Struthio camelus: one gene and its partner. The protein of the gene in region 2 purifies or fractionates together with the protein of the main gene of each other region. This does not show direct contact. Links are inferred from orthologs where the notes say so. Each region holds a gene or a part of one and is shown on either strand. Other genes may lie near its edges.

Region 1 (7,324 bases), on a different chromosome or scaffold from region 2:
GCGGGGGCCCAGGCGTCCTGCCCGCCCCCGCCCCGCCACTCACCCCATCTCCAGGAAGATCTGGCGGAACTGGGAGCGCACCTTGAGCAGGGGGTGGAGGTGGCCGCAGGCGGGCGGCAGCCCCAGCGCCGCGAAGTTGTAGGCCTTGAAGGGCCGCTGCCGCCAGGAGCCCCTGCGGGGGGGGGGGGGGGTGCAGCAGCAGGGCTCGAGGCGGGGGGGCCCACGGGTGCCCCCCAGGGTGAGGGGGTCCGCGGAGCCCCCCCCCTGCGGCACTCACGTGGCGATCATCTCCGGCGTCAGCTCCGTCTCCTGGCGGGCCACGGCCGTGCTGAAGGCGCTGCCCTTGCGCAGCCAGTAGGACTTGAGGGTGCTGGGGGTGGCGGGCGGGGTGGGGGGGTCAGCGGGGGTCTATGTGTGTGTCCCCCCCCCACCCCGGCCCCCCCCCGCTCACACTTCCAGCAGCAGCTTCCTCTTCTTGAGCTCGGCGCGGTCGCGCTCGGGCAGGCTGGCGGCCTCCCCCCGCTGCACCCGCCGCAGGCTGTCCCGCACGGCGTCCTGCACCGCCGCCACCTGCGGGGACGGGACCCCGCCGGGGGGGGGGACACGCGGGACGGGGCGCCGTCATGGGGTGGGGGGGGAGCCCGGGGCAGAGCCTCTTGGTGCGAGGACGGGGGGGGGTGACAGACTGCAAGACGGGCTGAGGGATTTTGAGGACCAGGGAGATGCTGCAAGGAGGACAGGGACCCTCGGGGACGGGGACAGCCCTGGGATGGGGGACACGCGGGGACGGGGACAGCCCTGGGATGGGGGACACGTGGGGACGGGGACCCTCGGGGACGGGGACAGCCCTGGGATGGGGGACACGTGGGGACGGGGACAGCCCCGGGATGGGGGACACGTGGGGACGGGGACCCTCGGGGACGGGGACAGCCCCGGGATGGGGAACATGCGGGGACGGGGACAGCCCCGGGATGGGGGACACGTGGGGACAGGGACCCTCGGGGACGGGGACAGCCCCGGGATGGGGGACCCTCGGGGACGGGGACAGCCCCGGGATGGGGGACACGCGGGGACGGGGACCCTCGGGGACGGGGACAGCCCTGGGATGGGGGACACGTGGGGACGGGGACAGCCCCGGGATGGGGGACACGTGGGGACGGGGACCCTCGGGGACGGGGACAGCCCCGGGATGGGGGACACGTGGGGACGGGGACCCTCGGGGACGGGGACAGCCCCGGGATGGGGGACACGTGGGGACGGGGACCCTCGGGGACGGGGACAGCCCCGGGATGGGGGACACGTGGGGACGGGGACCCTCGGGGACGGGGACAGCCCCGGGATGGGGGACACGTGGGGACGGGGACCCTCGGGGACGGGGACAGCCCCGGGATGGGGGACACGTGGGGACGGGGACAGCCCCGGGATGGGGGACACGTGGGGACGGGGACCCTCGGGGACGGGGACAGCCCCGGGATGGGGAACATGCGGGGACGGGGACAGCCCCGGGATGGGGGACACGTGGGGACAGGGACCCTCGGGGACGGGGACAGCCCCGGGATGGGGGACCCTCGGGGACGGGGACCCTCGGGGACGGGGACAGCCCCGGGACGGGGGACCCGCGGGGACGGGGACAGCCCCGGGACGGCAGTGGGGGACCCTCGGGGACGAGGAGAGGGGACCCTTGGGATGGGCTCAGCCAGGGGACCCTCGGGACCAGGAACAGCCAGGGACGGGGGACCCTCAGGGACAGCCCTGGGATGGTGACAGGGGACCCCTGGGGATGGGGGGGCGCTCAGGGACGGGGACAGCTCCGGGACCGGGGACCCTTGGGGACAGGCTCAGCCTAGGGACAGCAACAGGATGGGGACAGCGACCCTCAGGGACAGGCACAGCCCTGGGACAGTGACGGGGGACCCCTGGGGACAGGGGAGCTGCAGAACAGCTCGCTCCAGGGACAGGGGACCCTCAGGGACAGGGGACCCGCAGAACAGCTAGCTCCAGGGACACAGGACCCTCGGGGACAGTGACAGGGGACCCTCGGGGACAGGGGACCCGCAGAACAGCTAGCTCCAGGGACACAGGACCCTCGGGGACAGTGACAGGGGACCCTCGGGGACAGGGGACCCGCAGAACAGCTTGCTCCAGGGACAGAGGACCCTCGGGGACAGTGACAGGGGACCCTCGGGGACAGGGGACCCACAGAACAGCTAGCTCCAGGGACAGAGGACCCTCGGGGACAGTGACAGGGGACCCTTGGGGACAGGGGACCTGCAGAACAGCTCGCTCCAGGGACAGAGGACCCTCGGGGACAGTGACAGGAGACCCTCGGGGACAGGGGACCCTCGGGGGCAGGCTCAGCCTGGGGATGAAGGACCCTCAGGGACAGGCTCAGCCTGAGCGTGGGGACACAGCACCCTCGGGGACAGGGGACCCTGGGGAAGGGCTCAGTCCAGGGATGGAGGACCCTCAGAGACGGTGACAGGGGATCCCTGGGGTCAGCAGACCCCCGGGGACGGGCTCAGCCTTGGGGACGGGGGATGGGGGCCCTCAGGGACAGGGGACCCCCGGGGACAGGCTCAGCCTTAGGGACGGGGGCCCTCGAGGACAGGGGACCCCCGGGGACAGGCTCAGCCTTGGGGACGGGGGACGGGGGCCCTCGGGGACAGGGAGACCCCCGGGGACGGGCTCAGCCTTGGGGACAGGGGACGGGGGCCCTCGGGGACAGGGAGACCCCCGGGGACGGGCTCAGCCTTGGGGACAGGGGCCCTCGGGGACAGGGAGACCCCCGGGGACGGGCTCAGCCTTGGGGACAGGGGCCCTCGGGGACAGGGAGACCCCCGGGGACGGGCTCAGCCTCGGGGACGGGGGACCCCCGGGGACAGGGGACCCCCGGGGACGGGCTCAGCCTTGGGGACGGGGGACCCCCGGGGACAGGGAGACCCCCCCCCACCACTCCCCTCTCCCCCCCCTTCCCCAAACTCACGGCGCGGAAGACGCGGGGGCCGCCGGGCGCCTCCTTGTCCAGCCGCACCCACTTGTTGGCCATGGCCTTGCTGAAGCCCACCTTGGCGCCGGGCAGCTTCTGCGGGCGGCAGCGGCCGGCTGCAGCCCGGGGTCCGCCGGGCCCCCCCCCGCGGGCCCCCCCCCCCGGTGCCGGTGCTCACCATGAGCTCGCTGTGCGGCAGCCCCTCGCCGGGCAGGCTCTCGAAGACGCGCACCTCGTGGCTGCCGTCCCGCGCCACCGCCTCGCCCTCGGCGCTCAGCTCCCAGCGGGTGGCGGCCCGCGGCTCCGCCTCGATCACCTGCGGCGGCACCGGGCGGCCCTGAGCGGCGGCGGCGGCACCGCCACCGCCGCCGCTACCGGCCGCCCTTACCGCCGCCGCACCTCGCCCAGCGCCTGGAGACTCTTGACGGCGCCCACCAGCGTCTGGTGGTCGAGGCCGAGCTCGGCGGCCGCCTCCAGGCTGCAGAGACCCCCGCCCGGCCCGGGCCCCGGCGCCTCCCGCTCCAGCCGCCGCAGCAGCAGCTCGGCCACACCGGGCGACATGGCGGCGCCCGCCGGAAGGACTCCCTCCGCGCGACCCGGAAGTGCTCCTGAGGGGGAAAGGGGGCGTGCCCGGTGTGGGCGTGCCCGCTGACCTGCTCAGCGCCGCCATCTTGAGAGTGGCGCGGGCGCCATCTTGAGTGTGGCAAGAAGCCCCGAAGCGGCCGATGCGGGGAGGGGGAAGGGGCTGCTGGCGATAGGAAGGCAGCCGAGTGCCGCGGCCGAGTGACGTGTTCGGACGTCAGCGTGACGTCATCAGGCACTAGGCCCAGCCCCCCTCCCCAGCAACCAGCCTCACCCACAGTTTGCTGCACTGAAGTCAGTTGCTGTAACGGCAGGCTTATTCCCCACCCTATGACCGTTGCCATAGCAACATGCCTGGGTTCCCCCCCCGACCTTGATCCCCCTCTCCCCCTTCCTGCTGCTATTATGGGATGGCGAGCGCCTGCTCCCACGTGCTCCGCAGCAGCCTGGCCCTTTAAGAGCGTCCGGGCCCCACGTGACCCCGAGAGCGAGCGACGCAGCGCGCGGAGGGAGGGCAGGAGCGCGGGGGGAGGGGGGGGCGTCTCCCCCCGAACGCGTGGTCGCTCCTCATTGGCCCCCGCGCTCAGCCAATGGGAAGCGGCCATCTGGGACGCCAACGTTCGGGGGAGCCGCCGAAGCCGGCGAGCGGGCGAGGGGCCAATGGGAGCGAGCCCCTCACGAGCTCGGGCCAATGGGGAGCGGGCAGGGGCGGGCCCAGCTGCCGCGGCCATATAAATGCGGGCGTCGCCGCCGCCCCCCTCCGCAGTGTCTGGGTGCCGCCGGGCCGGGCAGGGCCGAATGTCTTAAAGGGCCAGGCGCCTCCGCCGCACTGTGTGGGACCCCCGGCGACATGAGCCCCCTGGGTCTCCCCCTTCTGCTCGGCGCCCTCCTGGGGCTGGTGGCGGCGGGGCCCACCCAGTACTTCCGGGAGGAGTTCGGGGATGGAGGTGAGGGGGGAGCCCCACCGCTGGGGGTGGGGGGCCCTAGGCAGGATGTGGGGCTGCGTCTGAAGGGCCCCAGGCGTCTTCTCTGGGCTGGGGGGGGGCTGCGATGGGGGTCGGGGGGAGAGGGGATGTCTTGGGGTGTCATGAGGGCCTAGGGGCTCATGGGGGGGGCTGCCGGGTTGGGTTGGGGGTCCTGGGGCAGCTGTGGGGCCTGCGAGGTCTTCCCCTGGCCTAGGGGTACAGGAGGGATGCGGGGGGCTGTAGGCCTGGTCTGGGGGTCTTGGGGTAGGTGCAGGGCCTGAGGGGTCTGTCCTCAGCTGGGGCTGGGAGGGGTGAGGGTCTGAGGAAGGCTGTAGGGGTCTTTTGGGGGCTGAGTCTACCTTGAGGTAGGGTTGGGGGTGCTGGGGAAGGGGGGACCTGAGAGGTCTTTTGAGGGCTTGGGGTGGGAGGGATGAGGGTCACAGGATGGATATAGGGAGCTGAGAGGCCTGGTCTGGGCATGAGGGTCGTGGGAAGGACATCTGTGTCTGCCCTGAGCTAGGGCTGGGGGTCCTGGGGAAGGAGTGAGGGGCTGCAAGGTGTCTGGGAAGGGATGGAGGCCTTGTGGGGGGCCTAAGGCCTCCCTGGGGCTGGGGGTCCTGGGGAAGGAGTGAGGGGCTGCAAGGTGTCTGGGAAGGGCTGGAGGCCTTGGTGGGGGGGGGGGGGCCTAAGGCCTCCCTGGGGCTGGGGGTCCTGGGGAAGGAGTGAGGGGCTGCAAGGTGTCTGGGAAGGGCTGGAGGCCTTGGTGGGGGGGGGGGGCCTAAGGCCTCCCTGGGGCTGGGGGTCCTGGGGAAGGAGTGAGGGGCTGCAAGGTGTCTGGGAAGGGCTGGAGGCCTTGGTGGGGGGCCTAAGGCCTCCCTGGGGCTGGGGGTCCTGGGGAAGGAGTGAGGGGCTGCAAGGTGTCTGGGAAGGGCTGGAGGCCTTGGTGGGGGGCCTAAGGCCTCCCTGGGGCTGGGGGTCCTGGGGAAGGAGTGAGGGGCTGCAAGGTGTCTGGGAAGGGCTGGAGGCCTTGGTGGGGGGCCTAAGGCCTCCCTGGGGCTGGGGGTCCTGGGGAAGGAGTGAGGGGCTGCAAGGTGTCTGGGAAGGGCTGGAGGCCTTGGTGGGGGGCCTAAGGCCTCCCTGGGGCTGGGGGTCCTGGGGAAGGAGTGAGGGGCTGCAAGGTGTCTGGGAAGGGCTGGAGGCCTTGGTGGGGGGCCTAAGGCCTCCCTGGGGCTGGGGGTCCTGGGGAAGGAGTGAGGGGCTGCAAGGTGTCTGGGAAGGGCTGGAGGCCTTGGTGGGGGGCCTAAGGCCTCCCTGGGGCTGGGGGTCCTGGGGAAGGAGTGAGGGGCTGCAAGGTGTCTGGGAAGGGCTGGAGGCCTTGATGGGGGGGGCCTAAGGCCTCCCTGGGGCTGGGGGTCCTGGGGAAGGAGTGAGGGGCTGCAAGGTGTCTGGGAAGGGATGGAGGCCTTGGTGGGGGGGGCCTAAGGCCTCCCTGGGGCTGGGGGTCCTGGGGAAGGAGTGAGGGGCTGCAAGGTGTCTGGGAAGGGCTGGAGGCCTTGATGGGGGGCCTAAGGCCTCCCTGGGGCTGGGGGTCCTGGGGAAGGAGTGAGGGGCTGCAAGGTGTCTGGGAAGGGCTGGAGGCCTTGGTGGGGGGGGCATAAGGCTCCCTGGGCCTGGGGGTCCTGGGGAAGGAGTGAGGGGCTGCAAGGTGTCTGGGAAGGGCTGGAGGCCTTGGTGGGGGGGGGCATAAGGCTCCCTGGGCCTGGGGGTCCTGGGGAAGACACCGGAGCCTGAGAGGCCTCTGGGAAGGGGTAAGGCTTTGGGGGGGCTGCGGGGGCTGTGAGGCCTCCCCTAGAGCTGGGGGGAACAAAAGGCCTTTGGATGGGGCTGTTGAGGGCAGAGCTGTCCCCTTCTCCCCCCACCCCGGAGCCGGAGGGGGGGGACAGCAGGGCTTTCGGTGGGATGTTCCCCCACAGGGTGGGGGGGAGGCAGGACAGGAGCTGGCTCCCGTTGTGGTTTATCGGCCCCGAGTCCTGCTGCGGCGGCGGCGGCGCTGCGACAGCCGAGCCCACCCCACCGCGGAGACCTTCCCCGGCAGCTCCGGCCTCCCGCCAGGGCGCCGGGGAGGGGGACGCAGGGGGCCGTCACGGGTGCTGCCGTGCCTCACGGGCGCAGGTGGGCGGCCTGTATCGAAGGGCTCCTCCGGAGTGTGACGGATCCCGGCCGGGCCGTGCAGGTGGCAGGAAGCCGGCCTGTTCCCCGTTCAGCTCTAGGGGCGCGTTCAATCCCCGGCCGCTGCGGGCAGAGCGCCGGGCCGGAGGGGACGCGGGGACGAGCCCGGCGCCGAGGCCCGTTCCCCCCGCCCCGGTCTCCCCGAGCGGGGTTGGAGCCGTCCTGCTTCCCTCTTCCCTCCGCGAACGCTGCCTAGCCCTGAAGCCGCCGCGTTTCGGCTGCCCGGCTCCACCGCGGAGGCGGCTGCCTCCACAGCGACCCTTCCCTGGGTGGGGGGGAGCCCTCGGTGCCGAGGGAGACCCCCCCCGGCAGCGGCCAGCGCTCGGTCGGGTTTCGGCTCTTACGGGCTGTTCCCGCCTTTAGGGGGAAACCCGGGGTCACGCGGGGCCGCGCCGAGCGCGGGCCGGCGCCTCCCTGACCCTCTGCCCTCTCCGCAGATGCCTGGAGCAGCCGGTGGGTGGAATCCAAGCACAAGTCGGACTACGGCAAGTTCATCCTCACGGCCGGCAAGTTCTACGGCGACGCCGAGAAGGATAAAGGTGAGGTGCCGGCTGCTGGCCGG
Region 2 (7,593 bases):
ATGGGATGTCCAGATCTTCCGTGCTACTGATACACTCTGGGAAGAGTCAGACTCAGTGTTATAGCAAGAGCAGCTCTATGGATCTTCAGCGGCTATCTGGCTGAGCTGCACAGATATACAGCTGCGCAAACTGCCAAATTTCAGAAACCCAGGAAAACCAGGTCAAAAGCAGGAGGTGAGACTACTGTAACTAATAGAAATCTACTAAACAGCCACATCAGGGAAGCTGACAGGCCTGCATTTATAGTGAAAAAAGTGAAGAGGTTGTCTTCTATCTGAACATCAAGGTCGGACACAAACACTCTGTGCTTACTGTTTTCTTTCACATATGCATAATTCAAAGAACCACAAGCTCTAAATTCCACTTCACCTACCTTTTTCATACCGCACTCATGTGAGTTCTGAATACAGAAAATATACCTATACCTAATAGGTTACATAAATTATGACTGGGAAAAAAAGCTCTAATATTAATAAAACTATCTGTGTGATTGTTTCTTTGGGAAGAACAAAAGATTTAAAAAACAGGCTTTAAAGAATCTGTGTGTTACGTTTGTACATAAAGCCGTAGACTATTTGAGTAGCCTTTCACAGTACCGGAAGGAAAGCAGCACAGGAATCCTTTCAGTTAGAATATTAAGAATCCTCTTTCGTGCAGATTAATAGTTCTGAGACTAAATAAGTGGGTAGTGGGTGGAAAATGTATTTCTACTAATTGAAAGAAGACTGAAGTCAAAACATGTTATTTTGTTCAATAGTTGTTCTTGATAAAAAGAAAGCAGGTAAGAATAATCATAGCATAACCATTTAGAAAGGCACCATTATTTACAAACAACAGTATTTTAATCTTGCTTGTTTGTAGTTACTGTTAATATTTTCTAAGATTCGGATAACTGCCTTGAAAAGCCACCTAATAGCAGCACTTTTTGTTTTATATACTCAAATACTCAGTCCCAAATATTGTCAAGCATCTTTAAGAAGCAGATATCTCTCCAGTTTGTTTGTATTTACAGTATTTAGCCCCTGAAGCAGAGGCTGCAGAAGGGAAGGAATGCTAACTCTTGATTTATTGTTTCAGTAAGGATACAAATGAAGCTCAAATTACAGAGAATTCAAATAAGTAATTCTTAGTATTTACAGTGCATGATAATGCAAGAAAGCCAAGGCTTAATCTGGTGGTACAAATTTCAGGCTGCATTAGTTATTCTAAAATAAAATCACTCATTTTTCTTTATCAAAACCAGTATGACAGTACAGGCCTTACTAGCAGTGACACAAACTTGAGCATTTTTATTGTCCATGAATAAAAATGGAACTTGCATTAGTTACAAATTTCAATTTGCCTGTGTGTTAAAAGAGGAAATATTCTGCCAAAGCAAACTCATTGTTCAGTTTTATGGTTTCTTTACATTTACACTCGTGTACAACGTCTTTGCTCTCTGTAAGTTACGTTCCAGGATTCCAGAAGTGGTGGCTCGACCCACCACCAGCAAAAGGAGAATATCGCTTTCTCCTAGTGATTCCTGCTCTTTACCTTGCTCCAGTCTGGGGCACATCAGACCCAATATAAGCTGATTTAACTAGAGGGTATTTTGCTGGCCCAGAGGGTTAAATCAGCTCAGGAAAGAGTCTGACACATGCCACAGCCAGTGCAATGAAAGAAGGACTGTCTCTATTTATTACAGATGGAGCCAAGGGAGATTAGCTGGCTAATTTAGCCGGTTAAGTCAAATACCTAAAGTTGGATCGTGTGAACACCTCTCAATTTATCTCTACAGCTATTTCTGGCAAGCTAATACTTCTTGTTAGCTACAACTCCTAGTTGGAATCATGTGGCACGCTTCAGTTAGCAGACCAGACTTCCCCAAGGACAGGTGGATGAGCTGATAATGGTGTATTCTGAGCGTTGGAGAAAGACTTGCTCTGCTATTTGCGTGGAAAAAAAAATGCTGCCTGTACTCTGTTTCTTTTATCACCAAATGCCCCAGCATTTTTAGTTATAAGAGAAAATATAGCACTTAAGTATACTCTTTAAGTTATTATGCACACAATCGTCAAAAGTATATTTGACGGCTTTAAAGTATTCCTTAATGTAGCTAAGTTCCTCCACTAAAGAACTATTACTTCTTAAGAGTTATACCCTTACTTTGGTGTTAAATCCTGAAAAGTGATGTCCAGACTTATTTTGAATGGCGCTAGTGGTCAGTACAACTAAGATTTAAAAATCTCCCCGAAGAGTGACAAAAAGAGAAGAAAAGCCATCCAGCTTTGCATTAAAACTCCAGTAACAGCAGTATTCGATAGTTCAAGTTAAGAAAGAACTTTTAATGTCATAATATAGTTTAAAATTAGGTAGAAGAAACAATTTTAGCAGTTCAGTATGCAGTCAAAGAAGATACTTTCTTCAATTGTCAGACTGTGCAAAGAAATCAAATTGTCTTTGTGAGAGCGCAAGTACTCAGCCTCCTCATTCTTAGGTATCACTTTTGTCCTGGGTAATCCAACCAGGCTTTAATGAAAGCAAACAGTATAACGTACATAAAGCAATCAGTGCAGCTAAGTACATCACACTTCTTACTAGTTTCTGACCTCTAAATGCAAAGGACAAAACATAGGTTTATTAGGTTTCCTATCTCCTTCAAAAACATCATTCTAACTTGCATAATCGTGAGAGTAAGGAAACCAACCAAATTTGGATTCCACCAAACTTTATCTAAAATCTCTGTTGGTTTAGCAATGTCAATAACAGACAATGCGGGTGTGCATTCATGCTATTGCAGCTGCCAAAGTTCAAAAAGTTTGCAATGAAGTATTACATTTTCTCATTGCCAGGAAAGTAACCGCTAAAACAAAACTGCCATAAAATTTGGCAATGCAAAAATTCTTCAAGTTGGAAATCAGTTTACTCTGTGAATCTCTAACTCGTATTCACACTTGTAGAGTAACATATTTCACTCTAGGAATCATAGAGATATAATTAGGAAACCCAGTCCTGGAAATGTTTGTAGCTGACTTTTCGGAAAGACAAACTTTCTCCATTTAGATTTTAGAGTGACCAAGTTATATTTGCAGACTTGAAGACTGGAGAATATTTTCAATCAGGTAAGACCGGTCCTTGTAAAATAATTCTCCAAGTTCACATTGGTCTCCATAAAAAACCTGACAGGCTGTCTTTTACTCACAATCCTGACCCTGAGCTCTCTTATACTTAATTTATCGTAGTCTTTCTCACATACTTTTTGGAAAAGTAAATTTCCCTCTTATTTCTCTTATAATATTTGATCAGTGGAGCAGCAGCCTCTGAAGTAAAACTAATGTAACCGCAGATCATAGAAGAAAGCTTCATGGATTATTTTTAAATAGCTTTTTAAATGATTACTCTTGAACTAGAATCTTGGCCGCATTAAGAAGAACCCAAGGATAACCATTACTCACTGTAATACAGAGGCTCCTTTCTAAGGCTATAAACTTTAATCATCGGTAAAGGCACTGCACTGAGTTTTGAAGCCGGAAAACTAACTGGCCCGCTGTATAACTAAAGATGATGAGCTTAATTTTTCCGAAAGAAAATTTTAGCAACGTGCGGATAGACTAACTTGAACGCTTGTCAAGTTATTCAATACACTGGCCTTACCTTTTATACTGAACATCTCAGATCAATAGTTTTCAAACACATTCCTCTGCAGGTACAGAGTTCATTACATCATTGGTGGCCAGGTATTTTTTTTTTTTTTTAATCTTCTTGGCAAGCTAATGTTGAACACGACAAAACGGGTGCCCGGCACGCGAAAGCTAGGGCAGGCTTGCACAGGAAAGCAAGGGGGAACTTGTACGGGCGCTTCAGGCAGCGGACCAACCTACAAAACGTAGTCGGTTACATGTGATCACTTGTGAACCCTCATTGCTTAAGAACGTCCAATTTTTCAACGGCAGTACGCTTCCGGCTTTGCACGCAGTGTTTGTTCTTCCTTTTAAAAATTCGTATGCCTGAAAAATATTCATAGTCTCCCACCTCCTCCCAGCCTTGACCCGACGGCGCAGGCAACGCGGACCTCTCCCCTGTCAGGCCCAGCCCTCACACGCTGCTCTTAGACCAGTCGGCCTCCGGTGGGGGAGGGGCGGGGCGGGGGGCGGGGCGGTAACGGCCCTTCCCCTCCGCCGCGCCCCACCCGCGGCGGCAGGGGGTGCCGCCCCGCCCCCGCGCACTACCACTCCCGGCATGCCCCGCGGCTCGCCCCGCCCAGCATCCCGCCGGCCTTTGCGGGCGGCGGGAGCAGGCCCCAGGAGCCGGTGCCCCAGCCGCCGCTGAGGGGTGGGGACGCCCCGCCTCTGCCGGGCACGGCGGGTCACAGCCGGCGCTGTTGCCGCTTCTCTGCCGCACGGTTTAACGTCGCTCTCCGCGTGCTCCCCTGTCCCCCCCCACCCGCCCGCCTGCCGCCTCGGTACCTCGGGGTGCGGCGGGCCGCAACGACCGGAAGCGCTCGTTGCCATAGCGACTGTCTCTACGGTAAACATTCCGGGTGCCCCCGGAAGCGGTTGGCGTCGCTCTGCCCATGTGGAGATTTTTCTTCTCGCTCCTCAAGTGCGGCCGCGCTCGCTGCGAGCCACGTGGCCTCGGTGTTAAACATTTATGGCTTCTTCATTAAAAAATTATGCTGGAAGGCCATGCGGCCTAGACCCGTCCGTGGACATGATTGGCCAAACGCACCTCCCCCCCAGCCAATCGGGGCCGGCCACGCTCTGCCCGCAGGAAACCGCACATGGAAAGCCGCGATTGGCGGCGCTGGCGCCGGGCCCCACCTTCCCAGCCTGACCATTGGCTGCGTGTTTGGCGTGGTACGCTCTGATTGGCCAGTCCGGGAGAGCCTTTCCCCCCACCCCTGGGCGCCCCGCATTGATAAGGCGAAGGGGGAGGGCCGCGGCCGTCCCAGCGGTTCAGCGGCGCGGGGTGGCGGCGTCTGCGTGCGGTGGCGGCGGGCTCGTGAGCGCGAGTCAGGTGTCGCCCGGGGCTGTGCTCTTCTGCGGCCGCAAACCCGCGTCGCCATGAAGCCGGTGTGGGGGCTCGCTCTCGCGTGCACTCTGCTCCTGGCTGGTGAGTCCCGTGGCTGCTTCCTCGCCTATCGCCTTCTAGAAGCTTCTGCCGAGCGGCGGTTATGGGGGGGGGGGGAAGTCTCCCCCGGTGGCAGCTCCCGCTCCCCTTTCCTTGCTAGGGGAGAAGGAGTGGGCGGAGGCCGACGGGGACCCGGGTGGGGCCGTTGGAGCCCTGTCGGCGTAGAGGGTCCCTTTGCTTCAGCGGTCGCTGTCCCAGCGCCTTCCCCCGCAGGTGTAACAGAGGGGAGGGCGAAGTCGTGCTTGTTCTTGTGTCCTGCTCTCTCCTGAGCTGCTGTTGGCCTCCCCTAGGGAAGGAGGTGGTTGGGGGCAGGGGAAGGTACGCGCGGGACTGCTCATGCGCTGTTGGGGGGGGGGGGTCCAATCCCTTTCCTCCCTTTCTGATGCCCCTGAGTGGGGTAAGCTTCCCCCAGGGATGGGTGGAAGAATGGACAGACCTGAGTCTGAAAATTTTTGTGACTGGTGAAGAAGAGTTCTCTAGTGGTGTGGAATGGGATTCTGGTCCATCTTGTTGGAATTCTTGCTTTTCCAGTGTCAGTTAGAGCTGATGAAGTGGATGTGGATGGGACCGTAGAAGATGACTTGGGTAAAAGCAGAGAAGGATCTCGAACAGACGATGAAGTTGTTCAGAGGTTGGTAGCTGGAAGCGTGGATTAGTTACTTCTGAACTGTTAAGGCTATTCTAATTATTTTAAGGGTCAGTTTTTATACCACTAATGCCCAAAGTATAAAAGGTGGTTTTGGGGCGGGGGGGGGAGATAACCCTTCAAAGATATGGTTTCATTAAGCTGGAGAAATTTAGTCAGGTAGAGGAACAGTAGAGTAATATCTATTTCTGAAACTGCTCCTCTCTTATGAGTAGAGAAGAGTCTGAGGTAACTGTGTTCAGAAATACTTTGTGTAATAGCAGTAGTGGCATAAGAGCAGGTCAACAGGGGTTTTTTCTTGCATGTAACTGCACGTGGTAAACAATATGAGTTCCATGCCTACCGATGGCATAGGTTTGTTTGTTTTTTTTAACTGTGAAACACTTAATCTTCTGTAAAGTGTACTGTGTGCTGAGAGTTACAGTGATTGTAAAATGCCTGTATTCTTCCTTGTGTTTTTTATAAAAGAAAGTCTGATTTGCGAGCAGGATTTTTCACTTGAGTCTTAACTTGGGTTGGGGTTAAGCAGTAGAGGATGGCTACTGTTGCACGTATCTGATGTGGGCATTTAACTTTATGCCAGCTGTTTTGGTAATTCAGGGTCTCATTGGTGATGTGACATTGAAGTCTGTTGCTAGACTGGAAAAAGAGTGGTACTGTATATGAACAAGTTTTCCATTGTTTTCACAGAGAGGAAGAAGCTATCCAGCTAGATGGCCTGAACGCATCCCAGATAAAAGAAATCAGAGAAAAATCTGAGAAGTTTGCATTTCAAGCAGAAGTTAACAGAATGATGAAACTTATTATCAATTCTTTATATAAAAACAAGGAGGTTAGTGCTTTTGTCAGGAGAACATCCTAGGACCATTTGTGTGTGTGTGTGTGTGTTTTTGAGTCCTTGACTACTGATTTCTATTTCAGATTTTCCTGAGGGAACTTATTTCAAATGCTTCTGATGCTTTAGACAAGATAAGGTTAATATCCTTAACTGATGAGAATGCTCTTGCTGGTAATGAGGAACTTACTGTCAAAATCAAGGTAAGAAGCATGAGATAACCGTTTTATCTGATCCACTGAGGGGCAGTAGAAGGAATAAAAGGAGGTAGTACCTCATTAAATTATAAGTTTATTGCTTAATACTGATGCAAACACAAACTATGAGCGCTACATCCAGGACACTTGCAGTTTGCTTCACCAAAGATTGCTGCTTTTTTTAGTCTACTGAAAATATGTCTCTGATTTCATAAAAAGTAGTTGAAGTACTGAAGTACCTCAAAGGCAGGTTTTCCTTACTCCTCTACTTACTGTCAGTTCAATTTATCACAGCCAGGCAAGTTTAACTTGAATGATTAGCTGCTAGTCTCCTTATCACTCTTTCACAGTGGTGTATTGCGCCTAAAGGTGTGCAAAGGGACGTCCAATAGAATCTTTTCTCTCTTTTCAGTGTGACAAAGAGAAGAACATGCTTCATGTTACGGATACGGGTATTGGCATGACAAAAGAGGAACTGATTAAAAACTTGGGTACCATTGCAAAGTCTGGTACAAGTGAATTCTTAAACAAGATGACTGAAATGCAGGATGATAGCCAGTCAACATCTGAGTTAATCGGCCAGTTTGGTGTTGGCTTTTATTCTGCTTTCTTAGTAGCAGACAGAGTTATTGTCACATCAAAACACAATAATGATACGCAACATATTTGGGAGTCAGACTCAAATGAGTTCTCTGTGATTGATGACCCAAGGGGAAACACTTTAGGACGTGGCACAACTATAAGGTAAGTGTTAAGTCTGTTTTCTTAGATTTAAAAAATAGTTGTGTATATATAGAGAGATATG

Evidence for each region.
Region 1: the proteins of HSP90B1 (region 2) and CALR fractionate together in Homo sapiens (co-fractionation; 4 studies listed by BioGRID, with this or other methods). This does not show direct contact. The link is inferred for Struthio camelus from reciprocal best matches to the Homo sapiens genes HSP90B1 and CALR.

The regions. Positions count from the first base shown.
Region 1 is NC_090972.1:4,290,581-4,297,904, forward strand, and holds the start of CALR (calreticulin), read left to right. Parts: upstream 1-4,318; 5' UTR 4,319-4,418; coding exon 4,419-4,515; intron 4,516-7,199; coding exon 7,200-7,301; intron 7,302-7,324. Other genes in the region: FARSA (phenylalanine--tRNA ligase alpha subunit), read right to left, coding at 44-172, 278-370, 452-570, 2,984-3,082, 3,165-3,302, 3,386-3,547. UniProt on the Homo sapiens protein: Calcium-binding chaperone that promotes folding, oligomeric assembly and quality control in the endoplasmic reticulum (ER) via the calreticulin/calnexin cycle.
Region 2 is NC_090942.1:62,746,314-62,753,906, reverse strand, and holds the start of HSP90B1 (endoplasmin), read left to right. Parts: upstream 1-4,551; 5' UTR 4,552-4,665; coding exon 4,666-5,092; intron 5,093-5,641; coding exon 5,642-5,741; intron 5,742-6,446; coding exon 6,447-6,588; intron 6,589-6,677; coding exon 6,678-6,794; intron 6,795-7,200; coding exon 7,201-7,532; intron 7,533-7,593.